3 linked regions of the Xenopus tropicalis genome follow. The protein of the gene in region 2 purifies or fractionates together with the protein of the main gene of each other region. This does not show direct contact. Links are inferred from orthologs where the notes say so. Each region holds a gene or a part of one and is shown on either strand. Other genes may lie near its edges. The genes, in order: ralb, exoc8 and exoc6.

Region 1 (3,755 bases), on a different chromosome or scaffold from region 2:
CCTTCATTGTGCTCTGTACACTGGTTGCTAAGGCCACTGCATCTGGCAACCACTGTCCATTCTTGTGTCTACATCTGCTATTCAGAATGCTTGGGAACTGGTAACTATACCAGCTTAGTATGGCAGCATAGGGATTCCCCTGTACTAAGTACAATTCAGCAGGAACAGCCCCCTAAGTTTGCTCATAGCCTGTACAGAGAGATACCATAAAACTATGGCACATAGGGATTCCCCTGTACTAAGCACAATTCAGCAGGAACAGCCCCCTAAGTTTGCCCATAGCCTGTACAGAGAGATACCATAAAACTATGGCACATAGGGATTCCCCTGTTCTAAGCACAATTCAGCAGGAACAGCCCCCTAAGTTTGCCCATAGCCTGTACAGAGAGATACCATAAAACTATGGCACATAGGGATTCCCCTGTACTAAGCACAATTCAGCAGGAACAGCCCCCTAAGTTTGCCCATAGCCTGTACAGAGAGATACTATAAAACTATGGCACATAGGGATTCCCCTGTTCTAAGCACAATTCAGCAGGAACAGCCCCCTAAGGTTGATTTAACACCCTGTACATACACAAGTATTTGCACTGATAAAAAGAGTCCGTTCATTAAAATACTCCCCTGAGAGTGTAACAAATGGGGAAACTACTGAAGTGCTGAGAATCCCCAGTCTGATGTACCCCTATTGCTGTAGCACAGGGAGGAGTCACACAACAACAACACTGGGGGCAATAAATATGGTGCTGACTTATTATAGGAAAGGCGGCAGCAGCATCACAAGGGAGTCACTGGGTCTCATAATTAAAGGCCAAGGGCACAAAAAGCAATAAAAAGTGCCCCATGGGGCAAACACTGCTTCTGTGAGATGTTTCTGTATTGCAGTATGGCACCCCAACGTGTGTCACATGGGGCCGAGTTAACCCCTTCCACTCAATCAGAACAGCAGGGGAGGGACAGAGACTGGCCCAGGGTCTCAGAGACAGATCAAGATTTGCCTGAGAGTAATTATAACAGTAACAATACTCCAGCTTGGGAGTTACTCCTGAACTACAGCTCCCATCACCCCTTTCCCATGCAGGCAGTCAGCTGGGAGTAGGGAATGAGTGACAGGGCTTTAGGGGGATGCTGGGAGTAGGGAATGAGAGGTAAGTAAGTCAGTAGGGGATGCTGGGAGTAGGGAATGAGAGGTAAGTAAGTCAGTAGGGGATGCTGGGAGTAGGGAATGAGAGGTAAGTAAGTCAGTAGGGGATGCTGGGTGTAGGGAATGAGAGGTAAGTAAGTCAGTAGGGGATGCTGGGTGTAGGGAATGAGAGGTAAGTAAGTCAGTAGGGGATGCTGGGTGTAGGGAATGAGAGGTGGGTAAGTCAGTAGGGGATGCTGGTGTAGGAATGAGAGGTGGGTAAGTCAGTAGGGGATGCTGGTAAGTCAGTAGGGGATGCTGGGTAAGTCAGTAGGGGATGCTGGGTAAGTCAGTAGGGGATGCTGGGTAAGTCAGTAGGGGATGCTGGGTAAGTCAGTAGGGGATGCTGGGTAAGTCAGTAGGGGATGCTGGGTAAGTCAGTAGGGGATGCTGGGTAAGTCAGTAGGGGATGCTGGGTAAGTCAGTAGGGGATGCTGGGTAAGTCAGTAGGGGATGCTGGGTAAGTCAGTAGGGGATGCTGGGTAAGTCAGTAGGGGATGCTGGGTAAGTCAGTAGGGGATGCTGGGTAAGTCAGTAGAGGATGCTGGGTAAGTCAGTAGGGGATGCTGGGTAAGTCAGTAGGGGATGCTGGGTAAGTCAGTAGGGGATGCTGGGTAAGTCAGTAGGGGATGCTGGGTAAGTCAGTAGGGGAATGCTGGGTAAGTCAGTAGGGGATGCTGGGTAAGTCAGTAGGGGATGCTGGGTAAGTCAGTAGGGGATGCTGGGTAAGTCACGTAGGGGGATGCTGGGTAACGTCATAGTAGGGGATGCTGGGCAAGTCAGTAGGGGATGCTGGGCAAGTCAGTAGGGGATGCTGGGTAGTCAGTCAGGGATGCTGGGTAAGTCAGTTGGGGATGCTGGGTAAGTCAGTAGGGGATGCTGGGTAAAGGGTGGCATGTCAGTAGGGGATGCTGGGTAAGTCAGTAGAGGATGCTGGGTAAGTCAGTAGAGGATGCTGGGTAAGTCAGTAGAGGATGCTGGGAGTAGGGGACTAGTTCCATTACACGGCTGTGGGGAGAAGCCTATGGACCGGCTGAAGTGAGAGTGAAGATATAAGGGGGTGCCGGTAGAAGCACAAGACAAACGCCGCCCCCCCCCGCCCCACTCACCTCCTGGTCTCCCTTCGCCGCTCCCGGTCCCTCTCTTGCTCCCAGCTCCCCGGGCGCGGCTCCTCCTCCCCCAACTTCCTGCAACCGCTACGGGTCTCGGGCTGGGACATAATTACCAAGCGCGGTACGCTAATGGGCGTGGCTTTGTGTGGCGCCAACGTCCCGCCTCCTCCGGCGCATGCGCACCGCTGTATTCTACTTTCCCTCAACTTGTGTGTGGCTTCCGGTGTTGTGGGACACGGGTAGGGTTGCCAGGTTAGCGGTTTTCCCGCCAAATTGGGCTACTAATTTAATGCCCTGGCGGGTTTCCAAAGTACAACCCCCCAAAGGTGCAGGTTTGGGCTATTTTTTGGAGCCTTAGCGGGTTTGTAGTTTTGAAACTAGCTAACGTTTTTCCCTCCCTAGTGTGCCTGTCCCACTGCATGCTGGGTAATGTAGTTTGTATCTAACAATTAGCCTACAGCAAGGATTTATATAAAACTACAATACCCAGCATGCAATTGGACATAGGCTCAACCTGTCTGTTCTGCAACCTGCTCCCTGCTCTATAGGGAATGTGATTGTACTGTTACTTTCTACTGGGATGTGGGGCAGTTCTACCCCCTGCTCTATAGGGAATGTGATTGTACTGTTACTTTCTACTGGGATGTGGGGCAGTTCTACCCCCTGCTCCCTGCTCTATAGGGTATGTGATTGTACTGTTACTTTCTACTGGGATGTGGGGGTAGTTCTGCAGTTTGTCATTAAGCTATAACTCTCAGGGTATCTCAGGGGCTGCTGGGAGTTGTAGTTCAATGTACCCATATATATATATATCATATCTGGGGTTAATGGAACATTCTGAATCCATTTCTGTAGTGACTTCCCAGCTGGACTGGGCACAGAGGGAATTACCAGCCATCCCAGTAACTGGGCAGTGATTATACGCTTTAATAAGGCAGGTTTCCCCATATATACTTGTATTTTTTTAGAATTTTTTTCATTGCGTATATTGGGCTATTTTTGGGCTACTTACAAAGTGGCTTTTGGCTAGTTTTGGGCTGGTTTTAGAACTGACTTTGGCTAGTTTGGAAAAATAAATCTGGCAACCCTGGACATGGGATATAAGCGGGGGGTTATGGGTATCAGCGATTGCAACCGATCCGAGCTCATGTGGGTGATAATGATTCATTCTTGAAACATTATGAGAGGAATTATACTTAAAAACACATGCATACAAAAACTGCCTAATTTTTCTGAATGCAGATAATAAGCTCTGTATAAACAAAGCCCCCCTTCCCTAAGCTGCTGCTCATTATACAGAGGTTTTGTCTATGGGCTGGTCATTTCTTTTATTTCCTACATCTCTGCTGATGGGGATCTCTTACTTAATCAACAGGCGTTTGTGTTGTACAAGGGGGTGGAGAAAAAAAATTCCTCTAACTAAAGGGGAACTAACGCTTTAGGAATAGTCATTTAATAGA
Region 2 (3,755 bases):
ATTATGTTATTCAAGTTTGGGGGGTGTAGCTTCAAAGCTGTAAGTGTGGCAGCAGTTTGAAAATCTTCCCTGTCAAAGTCAATGGGAAAATTGGGGTGTTCGGAGCAGCGCCGCAAAAAGACGGAGGGCCGGATCGCTTAGAAAAGCACAAGCAACCTGCTCCGCTATAGGGCGAAGAAGTGTGGGGAGTTTGGGTGCTGTACCCCTAAAACTGTAGGAGGAGTAGCGTTTAGAAAATGGGGGGCGCTAAGAAAAAGAAGAAGAAGAAGCGGAAGAAGAAGCCAAAGTTGAAGAACAGTATGTTGGGTTGGGTTCAGATGGGGTTTTTTGCCTTCCTCTAGAAGTTAGGCAGGTTATATATAGGCATTATGGTTGAACGTGATGGACGTATGTCTTTTTTTTTCAACCCAACTTACTATGTTACCTTACTATGTTTTTCATTGATGGTCTTTTTTCAACTCTATGTAACTATATACACATATATAGTAAGCTCTTTGCAGCATCTTGTGTAAGTTATTGGCTGCTTTGTATGTAAAACTGTATATTCAATGTATTTACCCATTTAGTGCACAGTTCTGCTGAATATGTTGGCAATTTATAAATATGTGATAATAATCTCTAAGAGATACAAATACAAGACCAAATGGCTTAGGGCTCTGGCACACAGGGAAATTAGTCGCCCGCGACAAAACTCCATGTTCGCGGGCGACTAATCTCCCCGAGTTGCCATGACCCGCCATCCCACCGGCGAACATGTAAGTCGCCGGCGGGATGGCACACGCGGTGGCGCGATTTCCCGAAATCGCCGAAAAAGACTCGCGAGACGTTTTCGGGAAATCGCGCCGCCGCGTGTGCCATCCCGCCGGCGACTTACATGTTCGCCGGTGAGATGGCGGGTCATGGCAACTCGGGGAGATTAGTCGCCCGTGACAAATGAGATTTGTTGCGGGCGACTAATCTCCCCGTGTGCCAGAGCCCTTACATATACAGACAAAACTTTTCAACAAAATCAATTAACAGTTACAAATGGTTAGTGATAAGAGCTTACGTGATTTATTCAACCACCAACCAAGATACAAATGATTAACAATCAAAGCTAAATCAATGATAATAAGAGTATTACAAGTCACACTAGTGCCCCACAACCTGAATAATAGCACGTAGTATGTGCCATTATTATGCCTTCAGATAAAAAAAACTCCATTGAAACGTCAAATTAAAATATATTCGTATAACAAGCACATCATTTCATTGCATTAATACAAATTACATGCGGCATCCCTTGTAGCAACTACTGCTATACAGTGCGACGCCACAGTTACAATAACACATTGTAAATCTCTTTATATTTACCTCCCGGGTGTTTCCAGCAGGTTTTTGCATCCCTCCACCTTTTCCAGCAGAGTTGTAAGGTTCCTGACCTTTCCCTCTTCTGCTTCCTTAGGAAACGCTGCCTGGAGTTCCCGGGCGGCTTCAGAGCGGTCTGTATAAAGCAAGGCCTGGGTGACGCTCTCCATAATACTTTTTTGCTCAGTTAGAATGTGGCTGAGTTGGTACATCTCCCCTTCCAAATAACTTATCTCTTTGGCAGTTTCAATGAACTGACGGTAGTTCTGATACACATTACGTTTAAGACTCTGAGCGGTCTCATCTGCCAGGCTCTGAATGCGCTGTCGGTGCTCTTGCAGGTCTCTATCCCCGTCTGATTGCTGTGACAGCAGTTTCACATACTGTTCTGCTTGAAAGCTGCTAGACTCCAGCTGCCGCCTCAATCGTTGCACCGAACCACCACCTTCTGCCATTTTTATAACCCAAATAAAGCACCGGTTCAACAGAAACAACGCACAAAACAATGTTTCAATCTGTCAGCAAGATAATGAAGGCTACAAATTGCATGTACGCTTCCGGGCGTATAGGATAGGCGGAGCAACAAAACACAGTCTTTCTTCGTTCAGACTGCGCTTGCGCCTCTCTCCTTATTGTACGGAAGCCCGCTGTGAATTTGAAGCGCAAAATCTTAGTAGTGATAAAGATTTATTTTACATCATCTTGTCTCATTTGTCTTTACGTATACAAACTTAAAATGGGTGACTATTTCTTTTAACGGAAAACTTAAAAGCTTTGCAAAAAAAGCAGTTAACAAGTGTATTGTACTAGGTTTGCCACCAGCATTGATGTCAACTCAATTCCCCCAGTTTGTCCAGTTGTTACCAGGTTTTAAACCCCACCTCCCCACCTCCAGCTGCTATATCCATTTCATCACTGCGGATAGCACATACCCCCCAACTTTTAGAAAAATATAGAGGGACATATAGAAATGCTGCACATAGCGCAGCATTTGAACACATTTCTTGGGGTTTCGTTTTATGTGTTATTACAGTTTTGCTAAAAAAGGTGAAATTGCCTTTTAAAGAATAAGTAAACTTTTTTTTCTATTAATAAAATTACTCTAAACAGCTTCCCAGAATTGCCTACCTTTGTCCCTCTTTTCTTTCTGACCTGGTTCCTCAGTTACAAGATGATCCATTCCACTCCTTCCTTGTTCAGAGTGAAGCTCCGCCCCCACTTCCTGTTTGGGTCTCTCATTACATCAACTACCTGTAGTCAAATTGGAGAGCCTTCTGCACATGTCTGGAGGCAGCAGGAGCCAGTCTGTGCATTAGCAGGGTTTTTTTTTTCTTGATAAGAGACCTGAACAAGAGTGGGGGCGGAGCTTCACTCTGAACAAGGAAAGAGAGGAACCAGGTCAGAAAGAACAAAGGGAAAAAGGTAGGGAATTCTGGGAAGCTGTTTAGAGTAATTTTATTAATCGAAAAAAAAGGTTTACTTATTCTTTAAGCTGCAAGTCTCAGTTGCCCCAGTTTAGCTTATTAATTACAATTGTATCTCAGTGCAGGTGTAGCTTAACTTTTGTTGGCTCTCTGCCAAAAGCCTACTTATTTAGTTTAATTTAGAGAAACTTTGTATATTTTTTAGCAAATTTTTTAGAGACTTTTCAGTAAGAATCTGGGACTGCTGCTTGAGCGGTTAAAATCGGGACAGTTGGGAGTTATGGCTCAGGGTTGCCATCTGGCTGGTATGTCGGTGGCCTTGTGCATTAAAATGATGAAACATTGATGAAAACATTACTAACGAAGAACAATAAAAATGTAGTAAGGCTGATATTTTTTTTCCAAAAAGGGGGAAACTCTTACTGTGTAAAAAAATATGACAACCAAATTCAGCACACATCACCAGGCTTCGCCGTGTAAAAAACTAACGTAAAATCTAATGTTCAGACAGCAAACTTCTCCATTTATTTTACACAGCTTTTTATACTGTTTCTTCAGCATATTTCGTTTTTAGGCTGATGTCAGACATGGCGTATTCTTGGCAAGCTGAAAATATGCCCGCTACTGTAAATGCGTCCTACCTGTGCCTGCACCCGAATAAATGAGATATGCTCAGGTTCAGGCACATGTAGGCAAATGCAGCACATAGCACAGCAAAAATTTTTTGACGACACCCATTTTTCCAACCACACCCCCTTAATACCACTCTCATTTTACAAAATTTGGCAGGTTATTCAAAGTTTGGACACATTTCTTGGGGTTTTGGGGTCTTTTTATGTGTTATTACAGTTTTGCTAAAAAAGGTGAAATTACTCAAGTTGAAATTTATTTGCGAACATGCAACGTTTCGGAGCCTTTGTCAAGGAGCTTGTTGCTTGACAAAGGAGCTTGGCTCTGAAACGTTGCATGTTCGCAAATAAATTT
Region 3 (3,655 bases), on a different chromosome or scaffold from region 2:
TCTGACAGAACTGAGCACAATGAAATGTTTCTTCTTTCATCTGGCATCCAAGGCCTGGCGAATCTAATTAGACTGAACTGGAAGATCCCAGATAACACTTACCTGCATAGTATCAGCAAACACAACAATCAGGTTCTTAAGCTCCAGGACAAGATCGGGGTCAGTGCAATACGACTACAAAGAAATGAGATTTGTTAAGTGTATTACAAACTGTGCTTAAAAGCTGCACCTTGTGCTAAATCGACTGGTGAGGAAAGATGTGCTGAGATATTGGGCTCTGATCTGATACCCAGGTCTGCAGATAATATCACAGAGGTTTTAATGATAACTTTTTTCTATGACCAAGAGATTCTCACTGCATGCTGTGTATAAGTGCACAGTTTTACTTGGAGTGACAAAAATACCCCCTGTGGGGGGATCTATTATTTATGATGTGACCCATAGCTCTCCAGCTTCTGCTGAAAAGTGGCTCTGTATGCATACATATAAGCTGTGAGCTGCTCAAGAGAATACTCAGTTAGTTGCTTTCATTTACCCACATAATTGTCATGTTGCTTTCATTATTTTAACTGCATTAGACCAAGATAAAGTATTAGTTACAGTTTGCTACCGCACTATGGCATCTTTGCAGGGTCACTGTGTATGAGTCTGCGTGTATACATGAAAGTTATATAAGTCTGTATTTCATCAATAGGCCTCTTAGGTCTCACCTATCCATGCAGTGAGGGGGCAGTGCAAGTAAAGTGGGATTTTAACCCAGTATGTCCAGAATGGAGCACATAGGGCATAAGGGATCCTTAGCACTCTGCACCTAACAAACACTGGCAGCTCTGTATTCATGGAGGAAGTATGGCTATTCATTCTCCATTCTGAAGCACAAACATGAGTCCACTTTTTGTACTTTACCCTGCACTTTGTAAATAAGGCCCTTAAAGACTCGATTTTGCACCCCTCAACATTCTAGCATTTGGATTCAGGGCCTTTGTAAAGAAGGCACAGTAAGTTTTCAGTGTATTGTAACAGATTTGTATTTATATATTTCTGTACAGCAAATAATTCACCCATAATAAACTGGTCCTGAAAGGTCTTATCTCTCTTCGATTATCACTGCCTGCATCATCCCAGAAGTTACGTTTAAGGGGAACTTCCCATTTCAGTGAATAAACCAGAAAAAGTTTATTTTGGGAACAGGGTATCTGGCGCAATCATCTGAAACCATTTCCTGGTGGCAGTCTGAGTGCTGACCTATTCAGTTTGATCTAATGAAGGCCAGTTGAGGCTAATGAGGACAGATAGCCTTAATAACAGCAGATTAACTATGCATATTCTAAAGTACTACACTATGCTGTAAGGACCCAGTAACTTGTAAATCAGAGAAGGATTATGCAGATAGCCCTCAGCTGTGGCTCACAGCTTGAACCTCCCGGGAACACAAAAGCCCTGGTAGCACTAGAACACAAGCCCTGACTGCTGAAGGATGCTGGGAGTTGCATGTATGTACCTTTCAGTCATTACATAACCCCACCAGGTCAGAATTCTGCCTTTCTTACCGAGTGCGTTCGAAGGACAGCTATGATCTTCGACTGCGCCATATTCCATAGTTCGGTGGTGTAAGAGCCAGTGACGAGCCCTTGTGTTACATGTAAAATATGATCTTCCACAACAAAAAATCTGAAATAAAGGGGAAAAAACTGTTTATTCAAATTAATGTGTCAGTAGATTTCACATTCAATAACATCATTCTAAGAATATTCATGGTTGGCGTATCTGTACATTTGGGTGAAATTTTATGGGTAAAGCAAGGCTGATCTTTTATTGTGGAAGGCATTAAGAAACGTTGCCATTTCATTTAATAAGCCCTGACAGGGGCAGTCTTTGGGCAGAGCAGAGATGGGCACCAACAACAGGGAACCCACAAGGGAAAGAATGTTGTGTGGTTCACTTACTCAGCTGGGGCATTTCATTTCTATAGAATGATTTCCATATGATGATCAAAACCCATGAGAAATTTCACCACTTGATGCTAACTCAATGGTACCCAACCTGTCCCCAAAGTACAACTCCCAGCATTTTGTAATATGTAACCAAGTGTCTGACCTTGCTAGGGGCTGGTTGAGACTAAAGGGTTGGGACCTACTGTTGGATTCCATAACGTATTTTAAATAAACCACCACCCTGTTCTAGACCTGCAAACACTGACTAGCATCATCTAGAAGACCCATCTAAGATTCCCATAAATGAGAGCCCCAAAGATCCGGAGTAGTAGCTGGCAATATAGCTAGGATTTAGGCCCACAGCAAACAATCAATAGATATTGCATAGATATTGCACTTGATATTGTGGAAGTGAATACGGCAGATCTTCTTCACAAGACGGCACCAACTGAAACTCTCTATATGCCTTCAATCTTGAAAAGAATATCAATATAAAACATGGTGAAAATTCACAATGCATTAAAATACTCACCCTGCAATCTGACTGAAATATTTTCTGTAACCTTCAACAGTTTCATGCTTTTAAAACAGAGCACAAAAAAGACACACATATATTAATACATATCAAGTTGTGGACAGTCAAGAACAATATTCTCTGAAAGAAAATCAGTTTACCATGGTGGACTGGGGCTGCAGGACTAATCTCGCTTGTTTTCTTCTCTGCTTTCTGTAGTAGTTTTCAAATACTTCTTTATCACCCTAAAACGTAACCACAGAGAGAGACGTTAATGTTCCCCAGATGCTAAAGAGCAATTCGCCTAAATATGATCTGAGGCTGCAGCTTATCGCTCTCAGGCTGATAAGGAGCCAAGAAAATGATAATTTGATACTAGTTATAATTTGATTAAACCACAATTCTTACTTAAACTGATCAGAACTCCCGCTGAAAATGAATTCTGAAGGCAGTCTATTGCTAAAATCTGACTCCTGCTATGGTAATGTCAAGAGAAAGGGACAAACATTATAGCTTACATGAAATAGGGTAGAATCACATTCATATAAATGTATTTAGAAGGAGTCTACTCTAATTAAGACATATAATATTGCCAATGATGTTTTTAGACTAGTCATGTAACTATTTAAATCCTGCACAGGTTGTAGTTGTACTTTGTTGTTGCTTTTGTTACACAATCTAATGTGCCCTTTATTCCTCTGTGGATGTGTGGAGGAACGCATTGGACAAACATGCTTGAGAAAGGGTGCAAAGAGCCCATAGTATTGCTCTTTTTCAGTACATTGCCATTAAGCATGGATAAAGACTATTTTAATGGAGTGCTGCTTAGGTGTTGTAAGTTGCTGTATTTGACCCTGGAGCTAGTTCAGGAGCACATGTCTGCTATAACTGGTGTGCCATTCCTATGATCTATTTGTGTGTGACCAGAACTGGAAAACACCACTATGAATGATGGTCTTTTATCTTAGTGGTGTGTCTGCCAGTTTGGCACTAATGGGGGGATGGGCTCTGGATTTCAGGAGGCATGGAAAAAAACCTTTAAAGTGCCATGGACACTAATGGTTGGTACCAGTTTGATGGTATATCTTCCTGCTGCCCATTGTATATTCTATTTGATCTCTGTTAAAGACTTTAGTCTCTAGCTGATCCTGTCTGATCTCTGTCTGCCCTGGCCCATTGCCTGGACTTAAGCTTGTTAGCTCATCAC

The links.
Region 1: the proteins of exoc8 (region 2) and ralb purify together in Homo sapiens (affinity purification with western blotting; 6 studies listed by BioGRID and IntAct, counting the BioPlex papers as one, with this or other methods). This does not show direct contact. The link is inferred for Xenopus tropicalis from reciprocal best matches to the Homo sapiens genes EXOC8 and RALB.
Region 3: the proteins of exoc8 (region 2) and exoc6 purify together in Homo sapiens (affinity purification with mass spectrometry; 4 studies listed by BioGRID and IntAct, counting the BioPlex papers as one, with this or other methods). This does not show direct contact. The link is inferred for Xenopus tropicalis from reciprocal best matches to the Homo sapiens genes EXOC8 and EXOC6.

The regions. Positions count from the first base shown.
Region 1 is NC_030685.2:89,161,566-89,165,320, forward strand, and holds the start of ralb (v-ral simian leukemia viral oncogene homolog B), read right to left. Parts: upstream 2,359-3,755; 5' UTR 2,293-2,358; intron 1-2,292. UniProt on the Homo sapiens protein: Multifunctional GTPase involved in a variety of cellular processes including gene expression, cell migration, cell proliferation, oncogenic transformation and membrane trafficking.
Region 2 is NC_030681.2:58,002,760-58,006,514, reverse strand, and holds the start of exoc8 (exocyst complex component 8), read right to left. Parts: upstream 2,524-3,755; 5' UTR 2,476-2,523; intron 1,995-2,475; 5' UTR 1,803-1,994; coding exon 1,354-1,802; intron 1-1,353. UniProt on the Homo sapiens protein: Component of the exocyst complex involved in the docking of exocytic vesicles with fusion sites on the plasma membrane.
Region 3 is NC_030683.2:25,435,992-25,439,646, forward strand, and holds part of exoc6 (exocyst complex component 6), read right to left. Parts: intron 2,694-3,655; coding exon 2,610-2,693; intron 2,514-2,609; coding exon 2,467-2,513; intron 1,672-2,466; coding exon 1,551-1,671; intron 175-1,550; coding exon 103-174; intron 1-102. UniProt on the Homo sapiens protein: Component of the exocyst complex involved in the docking of exocytic vesicles with fusion sites on the plasma membrane.